Cricetulus griseus: one gene and its partners. The protein of the gene in region 2 binds, or shares a complex with, the protein of the main gene of each other region. Links are inferred from orthologs where the notes say so. Each region holds a gene or a part of one and is shown on either strand. Other genes may lie near its edges.

Evidence for each region. Proteins that work in one complex are often made in the same cells at the same time.
Region 1: the proteins of Lims1 (region 2) and Rsu1 are in contact, whole or in part, in a crystal structure (PDB 7LT9), measured with the Homo sapiens proteins. The link is inferred for Cricetulus griseus from reciprocal best matches to the Homo sapiens genes LIMS1 and RSU1. Residues at the interface, in NP_001180417.1 of Homo sapiens: Cys252, Phe253, His254, Cys255, Asn256, Leu267, Asn268, Lys269, Ser279, Thr280, Cys281, Asn282, Thr283, Glu293, Phe294, Asp295, Met296, Lys297, Cys303, Lys306, Phe307, Pro308, Glu310, Leu311, Arg314, Leu315, Lys317, Leu318, Ala319; in NP_036557.1 of Homo sapiens: Asp21, Ser23, Asp24, Gln44, Val46, Ser48, His49, Val67, Asn69, Phe71, Asn72, His90, Asn92, Met95, Glu112, Asp115, Thr117, Tyr118, Arg137, Ala138, Tyr140, Ser142, Asp143, Ile161, Ser163, Arg165, Asp166, Glu184, His186, Gln188.
Region 3: Lims1 (region 2) and Parva share a complex: the UniProt entries of both Homo sapiens proteins name them as parts of the heterotrimeric IPP (ILK-PINCH-PARVIN) complex. The link is inferred for Cricetulus griseus from reciprocal best matches to the Homo sapiens genes LIMS1 and PARVA.

Annotation. Positions count from the first base shown.
Region 1 is NC_048596.1:219,325,334-219,328,985, forward strand, and holds part of Rsu1 (ras suppressor protein 1), read left to right. Parts: intron 1-2,844; coding exon 2,845-2,963; intron 2,964-3,652. UniProt on the Homo sapiens protein: Potentially plays a role in the Ras signal transduction pathway. Capable of suppressing v-Ras transformation in vitro.
Region 2 is NW_023276807.1:2,693,726-2,697,477, forward strand, and holds the start of Lims1 (LIM and senescent cell antigen-like-containing domain protein 1), read right to left. Parts: upstream 2,364-3,752; 5' UTR 2,349-2,363; coding exon 2,167-2,348; intron 1-2,166. UniProt on the Homo sapiens protein: Within the IPP (ILK-PINCH-PARVIN) complex, binds to F-actin, promoting F-actin bundling, a process required to generate force for actin cytoskeleton reorganization and subsequent dynamic cell adhesion events such as cell spreading and migration.
Region 3 is NC_048596.1:88,111,340-88,114,991, reverse strand, and holds part of Parva (alpha-parvin), read left to right. Parts: intron 1-197; coding exon 198-217; intron 218-1,263; coding exon 1,264-1,325; intron 1,326-1,794; coding exon 1,795-1,863; intron 1,864-3,652. UniProt on the Homo sapiens protein: Plays a role in sarcomere organization and in smooth muscle cell contraction. Required for normal development of the embryonic cardiovascular system, and for normal septation of the heart outflow tract.

The DNA.
Region 1 (3,652 bases), on a different chromosome or scaffold from region 2:
GGACACCAGTAGTAAACAAATAGATGTCAGTGATGGTTTATATAATGGAGCTGTGGTTGCAGACTGTATCTCCCTGGCGATGAAGGAATTTGTCCTGTAGAGTAGTGGATATGAAATGAGAGCAGTTTTGTAGAAAGCTCAGTGTGAAGAGGGCTAATGGGAATTGGGGTAGAGGTCCAGGGGCCAGTAAGGAAGTTACCTTTGTGTCTCAGGTGATCTGAATCAGTGACAGTGGAGGAAGGGATGGGAGCAGTGAGATTTAATTAGAAAACTATGTAAAAGAAAATTTGCCAAGACAGTTACTGGTGGGAGAGATACAATGTGGATTTCTGTGTTGGACAGCTAGCATGGATTTTGAGATGGAGACACATTTGGGAAGAAAATGAACTCAGGCTTGGTTCAGTTGAGTTTGGGCTGTCTTAGGACGGAAGGGTAAACTTGATGAACATGTACCTTAGTTATATCCTTCCCCTTTTGGAATTGTTTGCACTTTTGGCTCTTAAGTTTATTGATTATGCAAAACTACCAGTGTTCAACTCCATGGCTCCATAGAAGTTGCTATTTCAATAAAACTTTCAGTTCGTTGGGAAAGGAATGAAGATGGATTTCAAAAAGGATTTTCTGTTCTTGAATGTCATACTTATATATACACATTAAGGCCAGGGGAAGGCAGGATGGAGAGGACTGCTTGGCATAAGCAGGTAGAATGAAAGTGTGCACTTGGGAGACCATAAGCACAGGGTCACATGCATTCATAGTCCAAAAGACACCCAACCAAACAAATTTTGAGTTATGTAGTATTTGCTGTTTGTTATGATGATTGCAAGACATGCGAGAACTTTAGGCCAGCTCGTGAGAGAAAGTTTTGACCTTTTCTTAATTTTTAAAGCACAATGCATTGTGTATTTTACAAGAAATGAAAAGCCATGAATGTTTGAAGTTTGCAGGGTAATAGGTTTTGGGCTAATGACACAGTAAAGGACCACACTCAACTGTTCTGGACTGTCAGCCCAGTTTGTTGCTAGAGTCTATCTTGTCAGCACTTGGCAGTTAGTGAACCAGATGGAAGGCCTGACATAGATGTGCCTCATAGACTGTAACATCATAGGAACGCTGACATACCCTCTGTTTTGAGGCAAGTAGTCCAGAAGTTTGTTTTGCCTTGAGTAAAGTCAGCCTGGGACCCCCTCCACCTAAGACTTTTAAATCCACTTTTCTCTTGGGTTCCCTTTTGCTCAGTCATTTCTCATGAGGCCTGGTTGGTAGAGGTGGGCAACATTGTATCTTTTCTTAGATGGCATTGATTTTTAGTGTCACACACAGTCTCTCCCCGCGTCCAGTGTCTGTCAGCTTTCACTGAATTGTTTTAAAGCTGGCTTTTAAGTATTCTTAAAGACAGCGGCAATAGGAAAAATAAAGGCCTTGAAGGATAAAACATAATATCACAATTTTCTCTTAGATTATATATGTGTGTATGTATGTATGTATGTATGTATGTATGTATGTATGTATGTATGTAATTTGCTTCTCTGTTTTTGTAATAAGATTCTAGCCAAAAGCAACGTGGGGACTAAAAGGGTTTATTTGGCCTACAAGTTGTTTTAGTCTATTATTGGGGGCAGCCAAGATAGGAACTCAAAGCAGGAACTAGAGCAGAAACTAGAAGGAAAACCTGTTTACTAGCTTGCTTCCTCTGAGTTCTTCAGCTACCTTTCTTATACAGCTCAGGTCCACCTACATGAAGGATGGCAAGACCCATAATGTGTGGGCATTCTTATACCAATGAGCAATGAGGAAAGTGTCCCCACAGACATGCTGATAGGTCAGTCTAATAGAAGTGATTCCTCAGTGAAGATTCCCTTCTCTCAGGTGTATCTAGTTGATAACTAACATTAGTCACCATATAGTTTACCATCTTAACCTTTTTGCAGCATGTCATTCAAGATTGCTGTTTTCACACTACTACAGATGAAATCTTCAGAAGTTTCTTGTCTTGCAAACCTGAAACAACTAATTTCCCTCCCTCTGCCCCAGGCCCTGGCAACTAACATTCTAACTGGAGATAATTCTGATCATTAGTATAGTATATAGTTATTGAGCAAGAAGTTGGTTCCCCCTCCCATTAAAATGAATGGATGAAATAAAGCAAATACCTGTAATGCATGCTTTGAATTCTTGTTTACATATGCTTAAGGAAGTTTCTTTTCAGACAGGTGTTTTGTGCATTCATATGTAGAGTGGTATTCAAGTTTTTTTCCTGTTGGACTTAAGATTTTTCATACATTTCATAAGCATGAGTTATCTGAATAAAATGATTAAGTGAAGTTAGTATGTGTTATCTCATATGTGAGGTAAAATATGAAAGTCCTCTCAGTGGATTAAAGTGATGTTCACTAAGAAGATGTTAAAGGACCAAGAATTTCAGTTATTCAGGAATAAGTTCAAGAGATTATTTTATACCATAGTAACTAGAATTAATGATATTTGCTGTATTTGAAAGTTGCTCTGAGACTAGATTTGTGTGTATCTGCATTCCCAGTGTACTCTCAGCACATGCAGAATGCTCATGAAATCAGGTGTATGTTAAATACCTTAATGTGGTGTTTCCTCCATTGTGCCCATATTTCCCAACAGCATGTTGTATATACCATTAGTGTGACAATTTCTTTTTGTCAATCAAATTATATGAATAAAATGAAAAATCAAGCAGCATTCTGTGAATGCAGAATCATGGCAGGCTTTTGGGCTTTCATCCTGTTGAGATGGGTTTGCCATGTTTCCAGTGTTCCCTGTGAACTTGTGCTTTGCAGGAGGTGACGTGTTCTTTCTGTCCCCAAACTGCAGCATGAACAGGTTGAACACACTGCCTCGAGGATTCGGCTCTCTCCCAGCTCTGGAGGTCCTGGACTTGACCTACAACAACCTGAATGAACATTCTCTCCCCGGAAACTTCTTCTACCTCAGTGAGAAACTTTTAATTCTGTAAATCTCTTTAACACAGTACTTTGGTTCTAAGAGTAAAAATTTATTTGCTAGTTCTAAAACTCTTAAGAGAAATTATTAGATACATGTATATAGTTCCATCACAGAGTCCTTTTAAATATTCCTTCATTGTTCAGCAGGATTTATATTTGATGTGTAGGTGGCTGACACCACTGGGCAGAAGCAGACTTAGTAATATCATATTAACTTTCCAAAAGAGATTTTGTTCCTCCATGAGATCAAGTCTCCCATTTAACTAAGATTCTTGATTTCCTTCTTAAAGAATACAAAAGGAAAGAAAGAAAAGGCTTTCTCTGCTTTCTATTAATTCTCTGCAATGCACTGTTCAAAGATACTCCAGAAAATTGTTTATTAAAAATCCGTTCTCAAGCTGCTAACAGAATTGTTTAAATGTCCAGCTCAGATTCTTATATAGGTTTTGAAGAGCTCTTCTTGCCATAGACTAATTCTGCCTCTTACATAGCCATTATGGAATTGCTTATCACATCTGGTCACATGTTTGTCTTTTCATACTATTTTTGCTATAGATACATACAAAAATTTGGATGGCTAATATCCCAATGGCTTAGGAGACACTCATAACAAACATAACTGTATGTTAAGTTAGTAGTCTGCACCTGTGAATGGTGACTTCTGTGTCCTGTGGAAT
Region 2 (3,752 bases):
TGTGTGCCCCCCCCAAAAAAAAAACACTGAAAAAAGGGAAAGGAGGCAGCCTCACTGCTGGATAGACCTGGCCTAAGCACTGTGTAAACAAGATTTCCACTTTGCCATCTCAGAATTAATGTGACATGAGAAGATCCCAGATCAACAGTGATAGTTTTAATGAAGTTCTGGAGAGATTTGTACACCCTTTTCTTACAGAAAGAGTGACTGAGTGGGGAAGGACACTAAGCCCACACCTGCTCAATAATTCTCAGAAGCTGTTCGAGAATGACATAATAAAAAGATGAGCCACTCTGGAAAGCAGAAGAGGCTACTAAAGTCTAAATTTATTCTAAATTCTCTCAAGGACATCCCAAGCTCAGCAGGATTTCTCTGTGTAACCACCCTGGCTGTCCTTGAACTCTCTCTCTCTGTAGATCAGGCTGGTCTCAAACTCACAGAGGGATCAAAGGCATGCACCACCACCACCAAGCTAGACCTCAGTTTTAATGGACTTCCTCAAAAGCTGGAGAACATTCTGGAATGTCCTGATCCACTACCACTTAACTCAGTGACTCTCAAGGTATGGAAATTCTGAAGCGCTTTCTCTCAGCCACATCTCTTGCAGAAGCAATTGTAAGGAAGGAGCTTGCATCAAGAAAAACATCAACAAAATGTACAAAAATGTAAGGCAACAACATTCTTTATATTATCAACATGCAATGAGTTACTTTTCAGTGAATTAATAAATACAATTTCTCATACAAGTACTGGATTTCAATCCTGTTTTTGAATTGTTTTTTTAAGACAGGGTTTCTCTGTGTAGCTCTGGCGGTCCTGGAACTTGCTCTGTAGACCAGGCTGGCCTTGAGCTCACAGGAGATCTACCTGCTTCTGCCTCCCAATTGCTGGGATTAAAGACATGTGCTGGCTGCCGCAATCAAACCCCACCCCCCAGCTCCTTTCTGTGGTTGTGCTGAGACAACATAAAGAAGTCCTTGGAATAAAAAATGCTATTTACCACTGACTTGTTCATATTCACTACATTCCAGACTTTATGTCTGAATACTCAAGTAGAACTGGTAAAATGGGTAGATCATCCTGTGATGCTGAGCAGAATACACAAATATATATATATATATATATATATATATATATATATATATAGTAAGACAGACACACACACACACACACTCTCTCTCTCTTTAGTAACAAAGGAGGAACAGGACACAGCAATCACTTGCCTCCTGACTGACCTCATATTTCCCTTTCCTCTATCTTGTTTGTTGGCTGGTTGATTTTTTTTTTCTTTTTTTTGAGTCAGGGTCATATGTAGCCCAGGCTGGCCTCAAATTCCTGGTCCTCCATACCTCCTAAGTGTTGGGATTACATGCTCAGCTCCTCTCTTGCCTGACTCTCCAGAACTGTTCACATTTTTTTATAGCTGACAATATTTAATATAACATATGATAGAAGTTATTTTTTTGAGACAAATCATTAGATTGGTTATATCTAATTGCTTAATTTTCCAGAAACTTTTTTTCAGTAAAAAGTGTTGCTGATAAAGAAACTATGGGAATGGGGAGAATGTATGTCTATGGAAGCCTTTAGGAAAGCGTCCGACTGGCCAGCTGGGATTGACGTTGTAGACCTACTTCTACAGGTCGGCTGCTCAGGAAACTACAATCAAGCTTTCCAATTTCTCACATCTTATTAATCACTACAAGTGAAACAAATTTTCTGCTCTCCAAATACAACAGTGTGCAAAATATCCCGAGTTTACTAGTCACCTCAAATACTGGCTATGGAATAATTCCCCAGAAAAGTGTTTCTCAATTAAAATTTTAGTTTCATCTTTGAGAACTTTCAGAGTATATTTTTTTCCTGTTATAGATCCTGACAACATAAAGTACCAACTTCTCTCATGGATAACACAATGAAAATGTACCATTATTAGAAAGATGAGAGCTTGCTACTCTTCCCAGGAAGGTAGCATTTTCCTTGACATCTATTACGTCCTCTGGTAGTTTACAAGACAAGGCAATCTGTGAGCCACCCCAAACCCTCAGTACACCCTGGAAAAACCGTGCTAAATTAAAACACATTAGCTGGACCAAAAGGCTAGGGAACGCAGAGCTGAAGAGGTGGAGATTTGAAAGCCAGCATTCCAGGAGGAGAGAGACTCACAATTTCGCATAAAAATCACAAAATTCCTTGTAGACTTTTACATCACTGTGCCTGCGTTGCAGCTTGGATACAGCCCTCTCGTCTTCGTTCCCATTAGTCTCGAGGACACTGTTAAGGACTGTCCGGGGGATTTCTTCATTTTCTGGGATAGTGCACGGGCGTGATCGGCCTGGGAAGGCCATTGTACAGGCTTCAGAGTTCAGAGTCCTGTGATGCCGAGCAGGATACAGAGAAGAGAAACAATATCCAGGCCTCCTGTTTCCCAGCCAGGGTCACTCCCACTGTTCCCACATGCGTCACCCAGCTGCCAAGGTCGCTACTGACTTTTCATGTTAAGAGCTCAGTAGCATAGCAGTCTGGATCTATTACAGCTTTCTAGATCTCAAAAACACTGCACATGACAGTGACAATCTGTTTCTGAGCAATTCTCCATTTGGGTGTGCAACTTTTGCAAAGCTTGGCAAGCTCTGGCGAGGATCTGTAAGTTCCTGAAATGAAGTTCTATGTAGTCTCCTGTTATCTTTGCTCTTCATACAATAAACAACATAGTAAGGACTTCAACAAATGGGCGCAGTATAAATGAGAAAGAGCTAGAGTTGAATTGTAACTCTTTATCCCAGCTAACCCTGCAACAGGAGTCACAAATTCTTCATGGTGTTCCAGCTATATTTAGTTTAAACTAGTTTAAATTACAGGTTTGTAATTGTGTTTGTCATGATGATAATAACAACAGCATAGCATGAGGCCACACAAGGGTTAAGGGTTTTTCTTTTTCTTTTCTTTCTTTTTTTTTTTAAACTCTTCATTGATTCTTTGTGGATTTTATATCATGCATTCAGATCCTATTCATCTCCCTGTTCCCCCTGCTTCTACCCTCTGCCCTTGCAACCTCCCCCAAAACAAAACAAAATTTAAAAGTAAACCCACAAGCAGACAAACAACAAAAACAAAACAAAATCTCATCGAGGAAGCTGTAGTGTGGCCCAGTGGGTTACACAGTATACCCTTTAGTCCATACATCTTTACTTGTAAGTTCAATGAGTCACTGGTCTGGGTTGAGGCCTCTGGCTTCTGCTACACTATCAATACTGGGCCCTCACTGGGACTCCTCTTGGATAGCCTGTTGTTGCCCTGTGTCGTGGAGACCCCAGCTTTGGATCTGCAGGTCTGGCCACTTCACATGTCCAGCAGTTCATCTGAGTTCAGCTTCTAAGCGAGGAGGACAGCCACAGCTCTGTGCCAGGGTTTTAGGGTTTTTCTGTGGTTCCATTCTTTATTCCAGTGAGCCATATTACCCAAAGCAAGCACCCAAAGGAACTTGTGAGCAGGCATAGCGCTGGGCACCTCAGGTAACAGATAAGTCATGAAACTAACACACAAGTAACACACTGTTGAGACCTGAGTAACAGTGAATGACAATACGGAGGCGTTAGCAAGTATCTTCTATCATATCGCATGCCCTATGAAATGGGTGTTAGTCACAAGTAAAAAAACAAGTGGTGGGGTCAAGACTCAAACCTAGGGACTATACTGTAACTTCTATGAGAGAAAATGGCTCAACAGAATCACTGGGAAATAAAATGGGT
Region 3 (3,652 bases), on a different chromosome or scaffold from region 2:
ACACTGTCCTGGAGCAATGACAGGTGTCACTTGGAGGCAACACAGGAGCAAGACAAAGCCGACTTCCTGGCAGTCAGCCAGGGAACCCAGACATCGAAACCCCATCTTCTTCAGCCTCTGCTCCTCATGTAGCCCAAGCAAGCCCCAAACTCAAACCTAACTCTATAATGGATTTTTGTTTTCTCTTTTTCTTCCAGGGCCCTTTCTGGAAGACATGGTGAGTGTTGTGTGCTTCTCCAGCTCTGGTGGCCTTATTGAAGCTAGATAGTACTATCATCTGATGTATCTGCCCCAGCTTGGGGACACATTGGCCAGGTTGGGAGGGACAGCTTAGTGACATAAAGAACACTTATTCATCAACACAGATATGGCCCCAGTGGGGAAGACTTACCCTGTACCTGGCATGGAAATTTAGGAAGAGATGTTTGAATGCACTTGGGAGCTAGTCCCCGGCCTCACTCACTCTTAGTCCCCATCATGACTCCCCTCTCCCAGAACTTCAGTCTTGTTTATAGAATCTTCAAGGGTCGGAGATATATCACACACACACACACACACACACACACACACACACACACACACACACACACACACACCACACTTCCTAGCAGTCTTAGCTTTGCCCATCAGTGCCAAGTGGAAAAGGCTGACCTTGGGTCACAGACCCTCCCCATCCCAGCTTGCTTCTGGAAACTTCTAGGTCACCTCTGGTTCTGAGAATCTGGCACCACAGCAAGAAGTATCCCTGCCAGGAGCATGGCTTAGCTATGTTCTATCAGCCTGATTCATGGTGATCTCATGAAATGTTTTGATTATACTAAAAACTAGCCCCAGGGAAGGCTTATCTTTCAGATGATGTTTAATAGAAGGGGAAACTGAGGCTCAGAGGGGTTAGCAGATGTGGAGTGCCCCAGAAAGAGACCCTTGTTCTATCTTGGAAGGTACTGGTCTCTTGTGCCCTCACCTCTGCCCCTACCAGGATAATTTTTCTGAAAATTAGCCAGAACAATTTGCTAGTTGGGTAACAAATGACCAGAGGATGTCAGAAACACTTTAGAACTGTGACTACATTGGGATATGTGGGATAGAAGTGAAGAGAAAGGACCAAGCCCGGGTCAGTCTGCTTAGAAATGTGTTACCTGGCGGACACACACAGACGGTGACATTGGGATAAGAATCGAGCACAGATTCCCTATGGTAGCTGACCACATGGCTCCCAGCAGCCCTACTTTACACTGCATGGTGTGCGTTTCCCTGTTTCAGAACGTGACGCCTTTGACACGCTGTTTGACCATGCTCCAGACAAGCTCAACGTGGTAAAGAAGGTAGGCCTATGGTATCTGGGGGCAGCAAGGGCTAGGACCCCTCAGGGCATGAAGAAATCTCAGCTTGTACCAGGGATATCCTGTGCATCTCTTCCCTCTCTTGGTCGCTGGTTAGTCATCCAGGGCCCTTCTGCTCCCAGCAGGATGCTTACCCTGTCTTCCCATTCACACTGACTCCAGCATTCTCTGCTCCTCACTCAGAATTCTTCAACTCCCTGGGCACAGGAGATGGTACCAAAGCAGGAATCAACAAGAGGGACCCAGAGGGTCATTTTGTCTCTTGCTGTCTTCTTAATTCCCCTGCTGCCCACCCTGACCCCCAACCAGATATCCACCTATCCTCCTGTCTCTCAGGGGTCCCCTGTCCCTTACAGCCTGTGGGCTACCTAACCAAGAGCCTCTTCCCTGGCCCCAGGGCCCTTTGACACATGAAAGCCTCCATCTCAGTGCCTTTTTGTTTCTCTTTTAGACTCTCATCACATTCGTGAACAAGCACCTGAATAAACTAAACTTGGAGGTCACAGAACTGGAGACACAGGTGAGTGCCAGTTCCAGGGACCCAAAGCTTTCCAGGGAGAGGGATGGGATGTGAGATGTGAGCTGCTCAGAGAGGTGAACCAGATAGGATATTTTCCCCAGCTGTTTTTAGAAAAGTTGCAATAAAGAATTCTGTCTAGTTTACACATGACACACAACATGTGGCCAAGCTCATTCTCTCTCTACCTCTGAATGGCTCCCTCGTTTCTCTTCAGAACAAGTGCACTGGCCTGGGTCACCACTGTCCAGTGATTAGATCACCACTGTCCACTGATTGGATGCAGATGCTGGCAGTTTTAGCATTAGTGTTCTGTTTTCATCTGTTTAGAGGGGGATCATGAAGTGATGGTGTGGAGCAATAAGATGGGCCTGTCACATGATAAAAGGACAGTCATCCTGCTTTCCCCTGCCCCGTGTTGTCTGTCCCATCCCCTCAGTCCCTTTTTAACACAGCCTTTAACACTCATCCTTTCTTGGAATGACATCAGTAGAGTTTGTCATTGTTTTATTCTTTGATAATTTCATTTGTGTATATAATATATTTAGGTCATATCTACCCTACTCCCCCTTCCCAGCTCCTCCCAGACACTCCCACCCTTCTTCTAACTTTATGTCCTCCTCTTTTTTAAAAAATAACCTACTGAGTACAATCAGAGCTGCCCATATGCACAAGGGTGTAGGACCATCCACTGGATCAGAAGTAGTCTATCAAGGAATCACACCTCTGAAGAAAACTGACTCTTCTCCCACCAGCAGCCATCAACTTCCAATAGCTCCTCAGCTACTTCTGGGGCATTCTGAGCCCCTCTTCCATTCAGGCTGGCATTGGTGATTTTGAAAAAGACCCAAGCAAATGGTTTGTAGGCCTTACAGGCTGCTCACTGTCCACCCCAGCACTCCCTAGGAGACACTCTCTGGCATTTGTCTTATTAGTCCCACTATGGTGGTAAAATAGGTCACCAGGGTAGTGTCTACTGGACTCTGACTAGAACCTGCTATGTCATTTTCTACCTTAGTACTTAATAACTAATCTGTAATTTGGCACTCTGGGCCTCTCATTTTGAGTGAACTGCTGCTGACTGATGTTCAGTGAGTGTAAGCAATTCCTGTCGTCTATAGAGCCCACTCCAGTCTTCACTGAGCTCTCTTGCTGTGTGTCTGAACTCTGGGACAATCTGGAGCATTCTAGAAAAGCAGCTAGAATGCTCTCTGGAACTTCCCCCTTGACTTGGGGCCAGGGCTGCTATGCCAGAGGGTGCTGCTTAGCACTCTGACATCTGTCCACAGGTCCCACCCAACAGGACAATCCCAGCAGACAGGGAGCCACCACCTGGCTGTCCCTCTGGGCAGAATCATCCTAACCCTATTGGCTCACAGATTGGTTGCCTCCCACCTCAGCCTACTCCAACCACAGCCAGACCCAGACCTGATTGCTTTAACTGCACTGTAGAGAGCTCTCGTCTCCACACAGATCCTGAGCTCTGCTCTCCAGGACCCACACAGGTGGCATGGGATACCATGCACAGGCCTCACCAGCATGAGCTGACCCAGGAGAGTATGGAGGAGCTCCAATTCTTCCTGGGCTCTGTGTGTCATTTGCATCACCCTAGGAAGCTTCATGAAGATGCTCCAGACCCAGACACTAGCAACCTAGTCCTTTTCATTCTCCTAATAGGATGACTGCAAACCCTAGCATCTGTGGTCTACAGATGTGTAGTGGCCCATCATCCTCTGCAGGTGCTAGGATAACAGATCAGCATCTGACTGTGACCTATCTGTTCACCTTAACA